4 linked regions of the Arabidopsis thaliana genome follow. The protein of the gene in region 2 purifies or fractionates together with the protein of the main gene of each other region. This does not show direct contact. Each region holds a gene or a part of one and is shown on either strand. Other genes may lie near its edges. The genes, in order: GAMMA CAL1, AT3G03100, GAMMA CAL2 and AT1G16700.

Region 1 (4,159 bases), on a different chromosome or scaffold from region 2:
TAACGGCAAGAGAGAAAACGACGATTTGTGAGACGAGAAAGATTACAGAGATTCTCCCGGGAAAGTGACGGGAAAATGTAAGAAAATTAGAAAGCAAGAAATATTCTGTGATTTTTCTCTCTGAAAAACACGTTTTATTTTGCGATTTTCACCCAATCGGATTCTTTGATTTCGATGCTCTGTCGAATTGGACGATCGCTACCTTTTTTTTTTTTGGTCTTTGCTTTTTTTTTTGGGGGGGCAATATATTGATTTCTTATATCTGGTTATTGACACTTATATCCTCAATATTTGAGAACTATGACAAGTGGATCAAAGATTTGTTTCTCATTTGGCAAAGGGTTTTATCGTCATTAGCTATTTATGGTCATTATTACACACGAGTTGATACTTTTTCTGGATTTTATTTTTTATATGTTGATTATTGGATTTGCCTTTTACTCTTTCTTCTTAGCATTTGGATTTTTTTTTTTCCTTTTTTTTGGACAAATTGGATTTCGTCTAAGACAGAAAATTCAAACTGATTTTTTCTTAAAACAGGTTAATTTAATTAGGATATTAAAAGTTCTGTGTTCTATCTGGATAAAAACGTGTAGACTAAAAACAAAATGAAAATAAAATATCCATTCTGTCTCATTTTCAGTTTCTTACAATGTATTTAAGGATTTGTTCCATCCATGGTTGTGAAATCTGTGTGAACCAAAAAAAAAAAAAAAAACAGAAATTTTAATATTCAAACTTTATATTAATTGTTGAATATTTCAATGTTAAAAACAGTGAAATGAATCAATGTCACAACAGTTTTGACCAAAAGGAAAAAGAATTGGTGTCACAACAATTTTGACCAAAAAAAGAAAAGAATTGAGGTCACACTCACAACAATAGTCAATAACCAAAGCTACTTTAGCTTCATGGATATGGACCAAACATAAGTTATGAATTATAATACTGGGCCGAAAACTCAAAGCCCATATGTATAAGATTCACGTTGTTCGAAATCTTTTCCCACTAAACAATAATTTTATAATTAAACCTAAAGTATGTCCACGTGGATACCATCAATTGGTTCACCACAGCATTAGCTTTCACATCACACGAGAAGCTTCGTCTCTAACTAAAACCAAAAATACTCCAGCTCCTTCACCACTCTCTATTTCTCTCTCCAAATTCATTTCTTCTCTCTTTAAGACAAGAAGTTATGGCGGATTGGGGCCCAGTGTTGATCGCCGTGATCCTCTTCGTAGTTCTATCGCCGGGGCTTCTTTTCCAGATTCCGGCGGGAGGTCGAGTTGTCGAATTCGGTAATATGCAGACGAGTGGCGCTTCGATTCTCGTTCACGCCATCATTTTCTTTGGTCTCATCACTATCTTTACCATCGCCATAAACGTCCACATCTATTCCGGTTAACTGTTTAGCCAGACAAACCGGTGCTGCTTGGTTTTATTTCAATTTGATTGTAAGGTCTGGATTTGTTTTGTTTGTAACATTTTCGGATTTGTGAATATAATCAAAATTTCACCAAATGATACAACATCCAGTTTTGTTTTTGAATCTGGTATCAATCTGTAGAGTTTGTTTGGGATCTGGTTTAATTTGGTTTTCAAATGCTACTTGACACCTAATGTACATCCACCTAATAAGTGAAACGACGACGTTTTACTATTATTGGGCCTGTGGTCCGTTAAAAAGCCCAATATGCTGTATCTCGTTTAATTTCAGGTGAATCTTTCGACGACCACTCTCTCTCTTTTCCTCTTTGCAAATCCTTGAAGAAATCCAAAATCCATAGCAATGGCGACTTCGATAGCTCGATTGTCTCGGAGAGGAGTCACTTCTAACCTGATCCGTCGTTGCTTCGCTGCGGAAGCGGCGTTGGCGAGGAAGACAGAGTTACCTAAACCGCAATTCACGGTGTCGCCGTCGACGGATCGTGTGAAATGGGACTACAGAGGCCAACGACAGATCATTCCTTTGGGACAGTGGCTTCCGAAGGTAGCCGTTGATGCTTACGTGGCACCCAACGTTGTGCTGGCTGGTCAGGTCACAGTCTGGGACGGCTCGTCTGTTTGGAACGGTGCCGTTTTGCGCGGCGATCTCAACAAAATCACTGTTGGATTCTGCTCGAATGTACAGGAACGGTGTGTTGTTCATGCCGCCTGGTCTTCCCCAACAGGTTATTGCTTCCTTCCTTCCATTTTCAAAAAAAATTGTGTTCTGATTATCCAATTTTTTGTATGGAATCAAGACAATGTTGATTGGGATTTAGGGGTTTTCATTGTCCATTTTCAGTTATGAAAAGCTTATTGAAGAGTCGAGAACTTATATGGACAATTAAGTAAATTGGTTCTGCATAATAGTGTTCTCTCGAGTACAGATTTTCTTGCTTGAAGAATCGTCCAGTGAACTGTGGCTGTGGCTATTGTTCTTACTCTTTTGAGCATAATGAGTTTTAACTTCGCCGATTATGTGTGTGGAAACGTGTTGTTCTTTAGGTGATTAGCATTACAGGAATCAAGAAACTAACTGAAGATTGAGCTTAATATTGAGAGTTGAATAGATTAGCGTAGTACCACACACGATCATCTTGTGTAGTAGTAGGAAGTTTCTTAGCAGAAATTTGGGAACAATGTCTCGATAAAAGGATTTTGGTTTTTTTAATGACTTATGCAAGGATTTGGTTTTCTGGTCACTCGTGACTGGAAGTGGGATGCAATGGTGATAAAGCTGTATCACATGGATGTGAACTTGTTTTTGCTCCAAGGTTTAGACAAGGGAAGTTTTCAAGTAAAAACATTTGAAGAGTGACCATTCTGGTTTGATAGGGTCTGCTGAATTTTATTTGACCCGGAACAGTATCTATTCAACTTGTCACATTGATGAAACTATTTGTTTATCTTTCAAGGCTAAATTTATATCTTGGTTCTTTTTTTACATCACAAATTTGATTCTGGGGTATCTATTTTAAAATTTCAGGATTACCAGCAGCGACAATAATCGACAGGTATGTGACAGTAGGTGCCTACAGTCTTCTGAGATCATGTACCATCGAACCAGAGTGCATCATCGGTCAACACTCAATACTAATGGAAGGCTCACTGGTTGAGACCCGGTCAATCTTGGAAGCGGGTTCAGTTGTGCCGCCAGGAAGAAGGATCCCATCAGGTGAACTATGGGGAGGCAATCCAGCAAGATTCATTAGAACCCTAACCAACGAAGAAACCCTAGAGATCCCAAAACTCGCTGTAGCCATCAACCACTTAAGCGGAGATTACTTCTCTGAGTTCCTACCTTACTCAACTGTCTACTTAGAGGTAGAGAAGTTCAAGAAGTCCCTTGGGATCGCCGTTTAGAAGCTTCATCTTTTTCGTGATTCACTTTCATGTGTTTATCTATCATATGAGGTCTTTCTCTCTGCATATTGCAATAAGTAGCTGATGAACATCAAAACAAGTCCGGCTCTCTTTTTTGGTTCTAAAACGTTTGTCATTTCGTTTTTTGGGTTCTTTGTAAAATTCCATTTAAAACTGATTTTGGCTGAATATTGTCTGAATGATAATGGCGACGACTTCTGGTTTTGTTGTTGTGAGCAATTAAACAAAACAAATAACTAAACTAAATGGTTTTTCGTTATTTGGGATCACTAAAAGGAACATTGTGTAGAAGAATTAATTATACAGGACTTGTGACGTTTTATTTGACAGAATGAAGAACGTAGGTCAAACTAAAATTATGTAATGGAATTTACTCAATATGGGTTACATTTTGAAAATCTTTAAAATTCTTCCGTTGCTTGTAGGTTATAAACATATAACTCATGTCTAATTAATTCGTAAATCAACACCCTTTTGTTCTCACTCTATAAATTCAAAGTTCCTGCACATAACCAAATCATCAAAGTGAAAAGAAGCAAGAAAAATAAGAAAGAGATAAGATTAATAAGAGATGGAAAGCAAAGCAAGAGTTATTGCCTCCTTAGTCCTAGTTGTAGTTAACTTATCATTCTCTTAATAAGCATAAAACAAACAGACACCTTAATATTAAGATGTATACGAGACAATAAGATATACCGAACTATAAACGTGAAGAAATCTTTGGATGCTCACTTCTTTCTTTTCCTCTCCCTCCTCCAAGATTAAGCTGCGTCCGATTTCACCATCG
Region 2 (4,533 bases):
GATTTTCAATTAAAAAAATAGGAAATTAGTCTTAATAGTGTGTTAGCATAAATAGAGAGAGTCAAACTGTGAAACCCTTTTTGTTTTTAAATTGTAAAACCAATTAAATGTTGATATTGGATGTTTCTGTTAATCAAAATTCCAGTTTCGTTTTTTTTTGTTTAGAAAGATTATAATTTTTTTTTATAACAAAGTTGACCATAAAAACGACAGAAGAAGGATAATTAAAAAACGTGGTGCTGATCTCGTTTAAATTTTTAATTACCATTAAAAACGTTTTGTTGCTGGCACTGCGTTCGATTTATCTGGTTATCATAATCCGTTTTGGGAAAAATCTCTCATTTAGATGTATTAATAGTATTAAGATTTTGTTGGAAGATTTTTTTTTTGTTTTTTGTTTTTAGATCATAAACTCTGTATTCAATTTTCTTTGAAGATTTTCGAAGAAAAAAAAAATCTTGAAAGATATTTTTCTCGATGAAGTTATTTGATTAATATATTTTTAAATACTTCTACTTATTAGAACTTTTCTACTTTCCTAGCCAGAGGTGAAGAAACAAGAAACTTAATAATCAGCAAATTATTACACAGTAACAATTACAATTCCAGATCCGAAACCCAATTGTCCAGCTTTAGATCCAAGACAGCTTTTATTAAAATGACACAGAAACAAAACAACAAATCACTCGAGAGAAAGTCTCGCAGAGCGTAAAACCAAAATATCATCTTCTTACTGAGTCTTGGTGGGTACCCATGATTGGTACCGAGTCCAGTTCTTTTGTCCCGGGTTCAAGGTATGTCCCTTCGAATGGTAGATGTATGCATCACCTTCTCCAGAGAAGTTCTCTTTATGCTCAAGCCCATACCTTTTTGGTTTCAAACTCAAGAGCTTGAAACAGAGACATTGGTATTTATTATCAAGTTACAAGGCAATATATTATCTATTGATTGAACGAGACAGCGAATTTGAAATGGCTCTTGGTTTTACCTCATCGCCAGTGTGATCAGTGATGAAATGAAGCCACCCGTGCCATTCAGCTGGTACTTGAGATGCGTTGTAACGATCCTTTGAAGCATACTCTACCCATCTGTGCCTACCTGTTCACAAAGTGATTGCTTGTTTCAATGTAAAAGCCTCTTGACTAAACATTCTATTAAGATACATGCAGTGAGCTAACAAATAACAAATGCTGAGTGAGTGGCTACAATTTCCATGACTGTACCACTCAGAATAAACAAACATTTGAAGTCAATATTAAAAGGGTTATTCCCTGAATATTTAGTAACAAATATCATGAATCCTACAGTGGCATCAATTTTTTTAGGTTAAAGCATGATTTTATATAGGTAAAACATGAAGTTAAAGGAACTACATACCGTATTGAGTATCGCCTAGCTTCTGGTAGTATTTGTTACCGAACTTGTCAACACCAACAAGTGTCGCTCCTATGTTATGTATTTTAGTTTGCCTTCATCAAATATAGAAATAAAACAGTATTGATCAGAAAATACGACTCAACAGCAAGCTACAATATAAAGAATGGGGAAACTATTAATAAGACACAATATTCAAGCATACTGTGTATATACTATGTGACCCATATATACATGCTTCCAACATCTCAATACACAACATAGAAGCAACACTAAGTATATGTTATATGTATATTACGCATAAAGAAATGATCTGAGGAAAAGGTTCTCTATATTCAGCCAAATGCACCAACTATCTAGAGCCTATGAGAACGACAAATCCAGCTTATAGACTTGGTGAAAGAGGCACATAAATTTTGACTCTTAAGATCTTTCAAGTTTCAAGACTACTTTGTAGGCCAATTTCATCACCATTAACAGGCCTCACCAATCTTTGAGCTCTTATTCCTCATCAACTTGAATAGCCTTATGGCATAATATTGTCAATTCCTTCAAACATGTAACTACACTATCTCTGGAATACCAACCATCATTTACTGTCACTGTTTCTTTACTGAACTCCAAAATCAACTAACATAACATCTATCAGCAGTCCAAGTCAAAGAATAGTAAGCTGTTCAAGAATTGGCGAGCTCTGTTCACAGTATAATGAATCTGACAAAATTATGTTCGCTCACACAACAACATACACATATAAGAATATGAAAATGAACTTGGTCTGTAAAGAACTCTTGAACAACCACTTGAATCATATTCGTAATCCACAAAGAAGTGAAACACTAAGCACTAATTATCAAAGATAAATTACTTACAAGAGGTTCCCATCTGGTAGGCATCTCCTGCAATGAAGAAAAAAAATTGAAAGAAGCAATTAGAGAAATTCCATAAACTAGTGATTACCTCGGAATACAAACAATAAGATCTTAGACTTATAAGCAACCAGAAACATTATGCCAATTTCAAGCATCACCATCACCGTTCAAAATTGATGTTCACCAAAAACAAAGTGTTTGATTTTCATTTCACATCAAGAAAATTTAACATTTGAGTGAAAAAAACCGAAGAATGATAACCATTCATTGCAAACAAACTTCAACAAACACCGAAAATTCTTGTAAATTTCTAGATTATTTGGGATCTAACTAATGAAATCGAGGGTATAATCCTGAAGAAATTAAGCAGAGGAAGAGAGATTGGAAAAGAGAGACAGAGAACTAACATGAAGCCTTCTTCTCGGATCATCCTCATGAAACCGCCGAGACCTTTCTCTCTAATCGCCTCCAACGCACTCTTCGCCACCGTCAAAGCCATCGTCTTCCGCTATCGCTCTCTCTCTCTCGGAATCGGGATTTGATTTCGTTGTCGAAATAACAAGGGACATGATGACGATTGCTAAACGCATCGTTTTGTATTTGTTGGGCTACGCTTTGTGTTTACCTGGGCCACTTGCTCGCTATGGCCTTCCCCATGATGATGTGGCAGAGAAGCATATGAATATACATTTTCTACTATGATTTGGTATATCAAGAAATACAAGATTTAAATCTGCTTTTCCCACTTTCCTCAAAGCATTAGATCATACATTCATAGGGTTGTAATTTTGATTTCTCAGTGAATAAGAAGAGATGATGTGTATTTATTCATAAGGAGTTGTTCAAAAATAAAAAAAGGAAATTCATTTTGTATATGTTATCAAAAAAAAGGAAATCACTACGCATTATAAAACCCAAAAAAAAAAAAAAAAAGGCCTTTTAAGTTTTAACACTACGCATTCCAATTTGCTATGCATTAGCTTCATAGCTAAATCTGTTTTTCCCACTTTCCTCAAAGCATTTGATGATCATAACATTAACAGTTCACTTCTCTTCCTCTCTTAGTAAATCCCATTAGCCATTTTACAAGCTAAGAGTACACAACGTATTATAATCATATCTTCACGAATGGTAAACTCGATTTCAATATAATGATAGATCTCCTATTGTTAAGGTTTTTCCAAGCTTACTCCTTAGCTTAGATTTCATGGGATCAAATGAATACTACTACTTAGTAAAGTTCCGTGTTCAAAAAAAGAAAGAAAGTAAAGTTAATATTTGGGGAAAATGCTATTAATTAATTAATGCAAACATAATAATATGACATAAATACATAAATCCAAAAAAAAAAAAAACACTCAATTTTATTTTATATAATAATATCATACAAAATCTAATAATGAACATCATTAAATAAAAATAATAAAGTTCTACAACTTAGTGATTGAATATAGCTTATTTAAAAATAAAACTTAATAATGTTTTTTTTTGTAAAACCTCAAAAAGTGTTGGAAATTTGATTAATCTATATGATTGCATTTCATTTTATAATAATCTTTCCTTAAAGTAAATCTTTGAATAAAATAAACAATCCTAGTAAATATTTGAGTAGCGTAGACTGTAGAGTATACAAATTCAAACCCTGAGGCGGTCAACGAAAAAAAAAGAAGAGAAAACAAAATTAGAAGTCAGGCCTTTTTCTCAGCGTCGCCTGCGTCAATCTTAAGCTGTCTTTCAAAAACCTCTCTCAATATTTAAACTGCCTCTCCTCCGTACCGCTCTACCCAAAAAAAAACTCTCTCCCTCTCTCTCGAACTTTGTCTCCCTCCATTGATTTCACTCTCGTATCGAGTCTCTTCTTCTAGAATTTGCGCATCCTCTCCGCCATGGCTGCCGAGAAGTTAAGAGACTTGAGTCAGCCGATTGACGTCGTTTTACTCGATGCCACTGTTGAGGCCTTTTACTCTACCGGATCTAAGGAAGAAGTGAGTCCCGTTGTTTATCATAATTTCTCTGAGAATTTTAACGATGAACGAGTATCGCCACCACATTAAGCGGTCTCTTATTCACTGTTAATGCGTTCTATCGATTTGGGGGTTAGGCGAGGGTTTAGTATTTGCGATACGAATTGGATGAGTTTTGCTTAATTCTTTTTCCTGGGTTAGAGATAGGTTTCGATTGTTTGTGGCTGTTCTTGTTATCTGGAAAAACACTAAACAATGTAATTTGTGTGTAAAAACGATGTTTGCATATGTGTGCTTTCAATGAGATAAGAATGTTTGAAAAC
Region 3 (4,261 bases), about 17 Mb from region 2:
AGAAGGATACGAAAGATGAAACGTTGAGGATGAAGATAGAGGCGTTTTGGATGATGGCAAGTCCTAATAGCAAAGATGGAACAGATGATCCGTTGCTCAACGTGGTGCAATCAGAGTCGGTGGATTTGTCTGGGTTGGGTTGTGGTAAGGTTTTGGTAATGGTGGCTGAGAAAGATGCGTTGGTGAGGCAGGGTTGGGGTTACGCGGCTAAGCTTGAGAAGTCTGGTTGGAAAGGAGAGGTTGAAGTGGTGGAGAGTGAAGGAGAAGATCATGTTTTTCATTTGTTGAAACCTGAATGTGATAATGCTATTGAAGTCATGCATAAATTCTCAGGGTTTATTAAGGGAGGGAACTAGCTTTGTGCTCTCTAGAGATATTGGAATAATTTGGTACTACATATTTTAGTTGCGTCTCTCAGTTTCTGTAATGTTTCAGTGATTGGCTTTTCGCCCAAAGCAACACAATAAAAATTGAAGATGAAAATATTTTAGTACGAGATGTTTAATTCTATAACACTACGAGATTATTAGCTTTTCCAATTGTGAGGGGAGACGAAAGAAGTTTTACACTTTCCAGTTTTCACCATTATCATCTTCATAGAAAGTTTGAACACAAGGATATGAACTTAAACAAAACAAACAGAGAAGACAACATTTGAAACACAGCTCTGCTCTTTTTCTTGTTCCGCAGCTACTTATTCAGATCAAATTCCGAAAACGAAGAAGCTTTCTTAATGAGGGAAGTAGCCAGAAACCTGGAAGAAGCTTTCTAGATGGCGATTCCAAGGGATTTCTTGAACTTCTCAACCTCTAGATAGATAGTTGAGTAAGGCAAGAACTCTGAGAAGTAATCTCCACTTAGGTGGTTAATGGCAACAGCAAGTTTCGGGATCTCTAAGGTTTCTTCATTGGTGAGTGTTCGAATAAACCTTGCTGGATTGCCTCCCCATAGTTCACCAGATGGGATTCTTCTGCCAGGTGGTAAAACAGAACCAGCTTCTAGGATTGAGCGGGTTTCGACCAGTGAACCTTCCATTAGGATTGAGTGTTGCCCGATGATGCATTCTGGTTCGATAGTGCATGATCTTAAAAGACTGTATGCACCAACTGTCACGTACCTATCGATCAATGTTTGTGCTGGTAATCCTGAAAAAAATCAAAGTAGAAAGTATCTTCTAAGATCAGATTTTTATCTATCATATCAAAATTCAAAAGCAGCACCACAGTATGCTCTATCCTTCAAGATGTTAGTATAGAAAAAGCATGAAGACTGGTTGATAATACAGAGCTATTAACCCGAAAAAATGGTGAATCAAGTAATTAAGTACTAGTTGTAAACTACAGCTTAATCAAACCAGGAGGCTGTTGAACTAAAGACTTTGACACGGAATCCACCTTGGTAAGACTAAAAGACGCTTATGTTCATTCAGCTTGACGCAGCTTCAGAATCTCGGTTCCAACCACTGAATATAATATCAACTTTCTGCAAAATTCTCTCCGCATAACTAAAAATCTTTACTATGACATAGTTCCTGAAACTTCTCCAGAGCTGCTAGGCAACTTTCTACAACTAAACAAGATGGTCTCCACCATGCTAATCTATTCAACCCCTGAATTACCTAAATTTTAAAATCAAGCACATATCATCAATGGGTTTCTTGCTTCCAATATCACTAATCACCTAAAGAACTACGCAATTCTATGCATCCTTGTCTAGCTAAACGCAAAATGCTCTGAAGATTAACTTTACTGAACAAATATCATTCATGATTCTTGATCTGGGGACATCTTCACTCCAAACAAATATGCTTACTTACACTTCACTACTTCAGATAAAAGTGTAAAATCTCCTTAAAGGTGAGACTCTACATTTTCCATAATCAAAATGGAAGATGAAAATGAAAACCCTAAATTCCAATATCAATGATTCCATTAGCTAGCAAGCAGTAACTACAGCAATTGGATATCCAGAACTCAAACTAGAAGCTACAATGGAACCATACAGAGACTCAAATTCCGAAAAAATGACAAAGAACAAGAACCTGTAGGCGACGACCACGCAGCATGAACAACACACCGTTCCTGGACATTTGAGCAGAATCCAACGGTGATCTTATTAAGATCTCCTCTCAAAACGGCACCGTTCCATACAGACGAGCCGTCCCAGACGGTGACCTGACCAGCCAACACAACGTTAGGTGCCACGTAAGCATCTACAGCTACCTTCGGTAGCCACTGTCCCAGAGGAATTATCTGTCTCTGGCCTCTGTAGTCCCATTTTACCCGATCCGGCGACGGCGTCACCTGCGATTTCGGTTTAGGTGTTTCCGTCGTCGCCACCGCTACTGCTTCCGCGGCGAAGTAACGCCGAATCAGATTCGATGAAACAGCCGATGTTATGCTTCTTTTAGAGATTCGTGCTAACGAAGTCGCCATTGTTATGGAATCGGATTCTTCAAGGTCTTGTGTAGAGAGAGAGAGAGAGAGACAGAAAGCTTCCCGGAGGAGGAGACAGAGAGGAGTCGTCGGGAGATTCTTCAAAATCTGAAAAATGAAACTATTTGGAAAGTTTTATTGGGCCTTATGGGCTAAGTTAATAGAGGCCCATTAGTCATGCCATTGTCTGCAACAAGTTTCATGTACGATATAATCTTTTTGGTATGGTATTGATATGCGTTCGTGTTCGTCGTTTTTACAAATTTTAAATGCTGAAATATGTTTTATTCCATAGTGTAAGAACAATATTTTCATATATAAACGCAAACAAAATTTTGTTTATGTTATAACCACTCTTTTAACAAACTACATGGCAAACACATACGAGTACATCAAAAAGCTTAGCTTTGTTTATTTTAAGCTAAAGATTACAAAAAAAAAAAAATTACTGCAAGGAGAATTTTGGATTATTGGGCATTGTGATCTCTCAAATCGATAAAAGAACTTCTTAAACCTCGAAGCTAACAACTGGCTCGCAACATTTGTGTGTAGCCTTCACTTGTGTGTTGATGATGGAGTCGTAGCAATACGCTCGCAGTTGTTCTTGAGAATAGGAGGGAAGAATGGGTTCAATGGAAACATATGTGGCCAACAGTTTGTATCTATAGCTGAAAACGTTTTACAACATGGGGCTTCAATGCTAGCAAACTGACCAGAAAATATCGATTTGTAGATTTCTTGTACACATCCTTGGACGTTAAAGAGAGATGACCAACATTTTATGATATCAATAGGAAGACCCGGTGGGAAAAGTCCGGGGATCGTAGGGAGTGCTTGAGAGAACCCTGGCCTCACTTGAAGAACAATGGTCATAGCTAAGATCACAAAGAGAATAGCTCCTGAGTTGTTTTCCATCTCTCTCAAGCCGGTTTTCTTCTTTCTCCTTTAAGGTTCTTTGCAATGATGTAGATGATTTTGGCTATATTCACGAAACTTAGATTTATAGGGTTATAAGATGAAAACAGTGTTAGCATAATAAGGAAGGGGTCAATATCAAATTTGACTACAAAAAGTAACTCATGACAAAGTTTGTTTTTACAATAAAAGGTTCTAAATGACATGCTTAAGATATGAGACAGAAGAGAGGCCAAATCTAGTTGTTTTACATGTGAATTATATTACAATGATATTTTTATTTCTTATTGTCCAAAGCGGCCAAACTCCTACAAATGTTACAATGAAAAGAACCGATGCAAGACATCAAAGTTGTGTCAATTATTCACTAAGTTCTGAGAAGAAAAACAAACAGAATCCACCAAAGTTTGGTCAAACCAAACACATTTCTCTGCAACTAAAAACCGCATCGGCTTTTTATTCAGTCCCATGTCCATCATCTTGCAGCTGCAAACCATCAATCGAAATCCTATATTAGCAAATAACAATTGCAAATGAAAACATATTTTTGTTCGGTTATCAAAAATGGTTAAACCTCTAAGCCATTCCACGCTTGCGTTTCGCCTTTTCCCATTGATCAAGTAAACAAGTGACACCTTCTTCAAGTGTAGCCTTCTTATCTGCTTTGAAGTTCCATAGCTCTGTTGTAATATACCTTCCACTCGGGTTATACTCGTTTATCTCCAACAAAGCTTTCGTGACCGCATTGTAAGGACCATCTCCCAAATCTGCCTTTAGCTCCCTCAGCTTTTCGTCTCTATCATCTATCACTTCCTAAACACAATTAACAACAACACCAAAAAAGCTTTTTAATCTTTCAGAGAGATTCAACATAACAAACAGAGTCAAGAAGGCGGTCTTACCACTTCTCT
Region 4 (4,800 bases), on a different chromosome or scaffold from region 2:
CAGAGAAAAGGAAAAGAGTGCAAGAGGAACGAGTGAATGTGAAAAATTGAAGGCTTACATAGCGTCTCGCATGGACCGGCGAATCTGGAAAACATCATTGTCCATGGGAGCAAGTGTAACGTGAAATCCCTAAAGCAACACCAATTAACCAGCATAATCATAATCAGTAGTAAAACCAAGCATAAGCAAAGAAAGAAGATACATCTAAACCTCAGATGATAAAACCTAGGACTTCAATCCAACTTTAAAATTTGATACACAAAGAAAGAAGCAATCTTCCACCGCAAAGATCAGAGCCTAGTGAGGAAGATTCTTCCTTACGAGATCAAGAAAACGTAACCTATGATTACGATGAAGAAACAATGTCGCACGTCTAAACTCACGCAAGCCAGGAGGATAAGTAAAATGAGAAATCTCTGAAAGAGATCTTGAAACCGAGAAGTAAAAGAAGATGAGAAAGCGAATTTAAGACGAAATTCCAAATAGAGTAAGTTCCTGAGCTGGAGTTTCTGCCAATCAGAGGTTTTTACTAGATATGCAATTATGCATGTTCATGCCAGTCTATTAAACTACCATTTTACCCTTGTATTTCTCTGTATTTTACATCATTAATGTTCTCTTCAGATATTAGCAATTTTTTGTTAGACACTTGACCGACCGACACTGAGAGTAACAACACCATTGAATCATATCATAATCCATTTACCGCACGGTCCAGCTCAAACCGGAAACAAAGCCAAATTTGATTTTGCCATCGGTATGAACTCAAGAAATACAGATAGCAATAACAGTGCAAAGGCTGAAGCATCTTTATTTGTAACAGAAGCAAACGAAAACGTTTCCTTAAGAATTAGGCAAAAGGCATTTTCGGATCAATATTCAGCGGTAGAGGCTCTCCGACCTCAGATTCTCTGCAATCTCTGTCTCCCACCTATCTCCATTCTCAAGAAGCTTCTCTTTGTCATACAGAAGTTCCTGCACACCAAAAAGAATCAGAATGTCATTTATCGAATAATACACATCTAACTTTAAGATCATGGGCAATCTTATGTCTTTCTGAATTGTTTATACAGACCTCATGTGTCTCGGTTGCAAACTCAAAGTTTGGTCCTTCCACGATTGCATCAACAGGGCAAGCTTCTTGGCAGAAACCACAATAGATGCATTTCGTCATGTCGATATCATACCTGTACAGCTCCGAACAATCACTACACTACGAAATATATAGAAGAACCATAGAGACAAGACAGTATTAAATAATATATATATGGTTAATAAACGGGAACTTAGAGGGTGACCTAGTGGTTCTGCGGCTTCCATCTTCCCGCTCCTCTGCCTCTATTGTGATTGCTTGAGCTGGACATACCTGATGAGCAAAAGACCAGTATCCATGAAAAATCACACTTTATGTCAATATTGTGCTGTGGTATGAATTCTCGAGTAGCATAGACTTCAAAAACTCACAGCTTCGCAGAGTTTGCAGGCAATGCAGCGTTCTTCCCCAGTTGGATACCTTCGAAGAGCGTGTTCACCACGGAAACGAGGGCTCAATGGACCCTTCTCAAAAGGATAATTGATCTGCACAAAAGATAAAACTTGAGAATCAGAATATTTTTCTTTCAGCCTAATTACTAGAGTCAAGGGAGACAGCCACTCACTGTAACTTTTGGATCAAAGAAGTACTTGAGGGTCAGTGACAAACCCCTGACCATTTCAGTGAGAAATAGGGTGTTCATGCTCCGTTCAAAGACTGTAAAAGTAAGAAACATCAGGAATCGCTAAGACTCGCAGAAGGAAGTAATCAGGAAGGAATGCTAAGAGAATAGAAAGGTTGAAAAGTGTCTGGATCAAATAGCTTACCAGTACTCCAGTCCTTGGAGATCTCTTTAGCAAGCTGCTCAGCTTCTTCATCATCTACATATTACCAGAGGCAAAGGATTAGTAACCTATATTCCTGAAAAGTCATAGCCTAAATTAACCAAGAGAACCCAAATGGAAGCAACAAAATTTATACCTTTGTTGCTTCCATAAGATATAGCACGGGACTGTAGCCCACAGAGATGAGATCCCTGTAAACCTTGCCCTGAAAAAGCCTATCAACAAAGACAAGGTAGATGTTAAATGCGAGAAGAATTCCATAGCATAGCCACCAAAAGAGCTATTGAAAGTAAAAGTTAACTACCACGACGCTCTCAGTTAAAGTATTTATATTTGCAGAGATTGAGATAACAACATTTAGGCGATACATTCTCTCTTCAAGGAAGAGTATATGATCTAAAGGAAAAATGAAGCTTCACGATTGATGTACCAACGCAATACAAAGAGATGCATAGAGGAACAATACCCAGGAAAAAAAAAGACAAAAACATGTATAGCAGCACCACTTGCACATGCCTAGAGCCGGCCGGGGCAGACAATACCAACTAGTGATTTCAAAAAACTTAGCAGCAATTCCAAATTTCTAGGAATATAAGCGATATAAAATGGAAGAGCCTACGAGATTCTTACGAGATGTCGAGCTCGGAGAGCACTGAACGACCTGCGAGCTAGTAGCGAAGCCATCGATAGAACTCAAAATATCAAATTAGGGTCTCTCTTCTTCGATGTGCCTGATGTGAGAGAAGAAAATCCGATTAGCTGAAAAGCTTAATCAAGCAAAAGAAGCATTGAACAAGAGAATGACCAACGAAAAGCCTAAAATTCCATCCGAACCTTAAACGCGATACTCAAAAAAGCAAAGCTTCTGCACGAACCCAGAGAAAGTTCGATCTCACAAGAACATTGACACGAATCCTTTGCTGGTGATTCACGGTCGTCGGAACAAAATTCGATCAGATGTCTCTTAATTTACAAATTGACCCTTCTGGTTAACTACTTACTCAGCTCATAACCGGGCAATCAAACCGGTTATATTTGGTATGACAGTCAATTCCTTCCAAGTTTCACACATTTCAGGATCCAGGTTCTCAAGACGTGGACCAAACTAGACCATTGCTGAAAAAAGTTAATACCTGATCAATGGTCACTAACCGGACCTAAAGTTCACAAAGTAGCCGAGATTGATCAATAAACCGGGAAAACCAAAGACTACACAAAATTTAGAGGAGATACAAAGTGTTTTGGTGACAATCTTCACCACCACTGGGGAGGAACTAACGGGGATAACTCTTTACAATGAAGAAGAAGAAAACTAGTTGAGATGTTATGGTGCTATGTAGAGAGTGTTGCCACAGTTAATGTGGGCTTGGTTTAGAGGATTCCATCTATCAAATACAATCCGACCGCCTCTACCCATTCTTCCTTGAAACCGAGCTCTTCCACTTCTTGCATCTGATGGAGGGATGATTCCCGCAGCAGCCAGTTTATCGGGGACCAATGCTTTCGTGAACAGCATAACTGGCTCATTAGGATTCTACACAGAAACAACATAAACAGTGAACGTAATTCTCTCTTTTTTATCTTGTCACCAGAATGTAGTAACCTAATAGTCTCAAATGTTTCAAATACAGAGGTTCTGAAGAATTACCAGTTTGTGGAGCCATCCAAGTCTTCTCGCCTCTTGCTTTATGCTCCCGGCTTGAGCTCGAGCGAGGTTTGAGTCGGTGAAACGACGATGAGGGGTAAAGGAAGGCCTTGTACATGTTTGGGTGGTGGTCGGGTCATCGGAGTCCATGAATTCATCTTCGCTTGAGCCAAATCTGTAAGCTGTAGAGAGTGGAAACCCAGCCAGAGCCAAACTATCTTCCAAAAGTTCGGTTTCATTCTGCAAACATATCAAAACCCCACAAAAAAAATCAGAGGAGATCGAAATGCACAACTCTTTCTGGTAACAAAAGAACACTCGATGCAGGTTGTAGAGGACTACCTTATATTTCAGTTGGATTCTCTGAAGGCTAACCTCACTCGCCATGAAATCCCTCTTTTTCTCTTCTCTCTATAAAGATAACATGTTTTTAATCAAGTTAATACCTATGGAGTCTGCAGGTATCTCTTAAGATATCAATAAAATTACATTCAAGTCACAAAATATAGATGTCATTTAGATTACCTTAATAAGAGCTTCTAGAATGGTCTTTGCTTGGTCAAGATTGCGCCTGACCTAATAATAACATATCCCAGAACAGAAGAGAAGAACGTTTGAGAATCCAGGAATTATTTTAAGAAGTTAAACACAGATTCAGGTCTTCCCTTACCTGTCGCAGCTTCTCAAATGACTGCGCATTGTTTTCTCTCTGCTGCATCTGAAGTGAGGTCAACTATTGTTAGTAAGTTATGGTGCATTTTCCATACTCACACATGTAAGATAAGGAAATTGATAAACCACAGACAACAAGACAGCCTACTCTTCTTGCGTGTAGTCTATGAGCTTTCTCCCGTGGCCTAAACACATTGTACGGATTGGTATCATTGACCGGTGGTGGAGGCTGTTCCAAACAAAAAACACAAGAGTAGCTAATTTTCAGTACATTTCAGAATAAATTCATTTCTTCCACATGTAAGATTGAGACCAGTCCAAATGATATACCTGTAAACGCCGCAAGATAGGCTTCTGCCATATTTCACGCTAAAAGAATACAAAAGTCGAAGTTACTTAATGTTTTAAGCCTATGCCCAAAGAACCATTAACAACTTTTCATTAAAAAAAAAAAAATCAATTATCATCAAACTATACGACAACTATATCAAACCTTATTTTTCCAATAACTGTATATAGCGTGGAAAACTCCATATTTGATGGACAAATATTTCAGCGCCTGTAAAAAAAATGGAAATAGCACAATAAGAACAATGTAAATGTCC

The links.
Region 1: the proteins of AT3G03100 (region 2) and GAMMA CAL1 fractionate together in Arabidopsis thaliana (co-fractionation; one large-scale study listed by BioGRID). This does not show direct contact.
Region 3: the proteins of AT3G03100 (region 2) and GAMMA CAL2 fractionate together in Arabidopsis thaliana (co-fractionation; one large-scale study listed by BioGRID). This does not show direct contact.
Region 4: the proteins of AT3G03100 (region 2) and AT1G16700 fractionate together in Arabidopsis thaliana (co-fractionation; one large-scale study listed by BioGRID). This does not show direct contact.

Annotation. Positions count from the first base shown.
Region 1 is NC_003076.8:25,422,262-25,426,420, forward strand, and holds GAMMA CAL1 (gamma carbonic anhydrase like 1), read left to right. Parts: upstream 1-1,705; 5' UTR 1,706-1,792; coding exon 1,793-2,174; intron 2,175-2,704; coding exon 2,705-2,785; intron 2,786-2,974; coding exon 2,975-3,351; 3' UTR 3,352-3,610; downstream 3,611-4,159. Other genes in the region: AT5G63500 (transmembrane protein, putative (DUF 3339)), read left to right, coding at 1,199-1,408; AT5G63520 (F-box/LRR protein), read right to left, coding at 4,039-4,159. UniProt on the Arabidopsis thaliana protein: Involved in complex I assembly in mitochondria and respiration.
Region 2 is NC_003074.8:704,834-709,366, forward strand, and holds AT3G03100 (NADH:ubiquinone oxidoreductase, 17.2kDa subunit), read right to left. Parts: upstream 2,865-4,533; 5' UTR 2,746-2,864; coding exon 2,654-2,745; intron 2,274-2,653; coding exon 2,247-2,273; intron 1,470-2,246; coding exon 1,378-1,469; coding exon of another isoform or gene 1,374-1,377; intron 1,099-1,373; coding exon 989-1,098; intron 890-988; coding exon 731-889; 3' UTR 548-730; downstream 1-547. Other genes in the region: XPO1B (exportin 1B), read left to right, coding at 4,133-4,231. UniProt on the Arabidopsis thaliana protein: Accessory subunit of the mitochondrial membrane respiratory chain NADH dehydrogenase (Complex I), that is believed not to be involved in catalysis. Complex I functions in the transfer of electrons from NADH to the respiratory chain.
Region 3 is NC_003074.8:18,033,281-18,037,541, reverse strand, and holds GAMMA CAL2 (gamma carbonic anhydrase-like 2), read right to left. Parts: upstream 2,608-4,261; 5' UTR 2,436-2,607; coding exon 2,042-2,435; intron 1,146-2,041; coding exon 769-1,145; 3' UTR 501-768; downstream 1-500. Other genes in the region: CXE12 (alpha/beta-Hydrolases superfamily protein), read left to right, coding at 1-356; AT3G48675 (egg cell-secreted-like protein (DUF1278)), read right to left, coding at 2,991-3,350; IDN2 (XH/XS domain-containing protein), read right to left, coding at 3,927-4,163, 4,253-4,261.
Region 4 is NC_003070.9:5,707,774-5,712,573, reverse strand, and holds AT1G16700 (Alpha-helical ferredoxin), read right to left. Parts: upstream 2,951-4,800; 5' UTR 2,713-2,950; intron 2,610-2,712; 5' UTR 2,563-2,609; coding exon 2,509-2,562; intron 2,094-2,508; coding exon 2,015-2,093; intron 1,915-2,014; coding exon 1,861-1,914; intron 1,751-1,860; coding exon 1,659-1,750; intron 1,579-1,658; coding exon 1,465-1,578; intron 1,367-1,464; coding exon 1,299-1,366; intron 1,188-1,298; coding exon 1,076-1,187; intron 976-1,075; coding exon 880-975; 3' UTR 531-879; downstream 1-530. Other genes in the region: AT1G16705 (p300/CBP acetyltransferase-related protein-like protein), read right to left, coding at 59-105; AT1G16690 (Enhancer of polycomb-like transcription factor protein), read right to left, coding at 3,203-3,412, 3,527-3,763, 3,866-3,934, 4,049-4,099, 4,194-4,241, 4,344-4,424, 4,526-4,564, 4,689-4,754. UniProt on the Arabidopsis thaliana protein: Core subunit of the mitochondrial membrane respiratory chain NADH dehydrogenase (Complex I) that is believed to belong to the minimal assembly required for catalysis. Complex I functions in the transfer of electrons from NADH to the respiratory chain.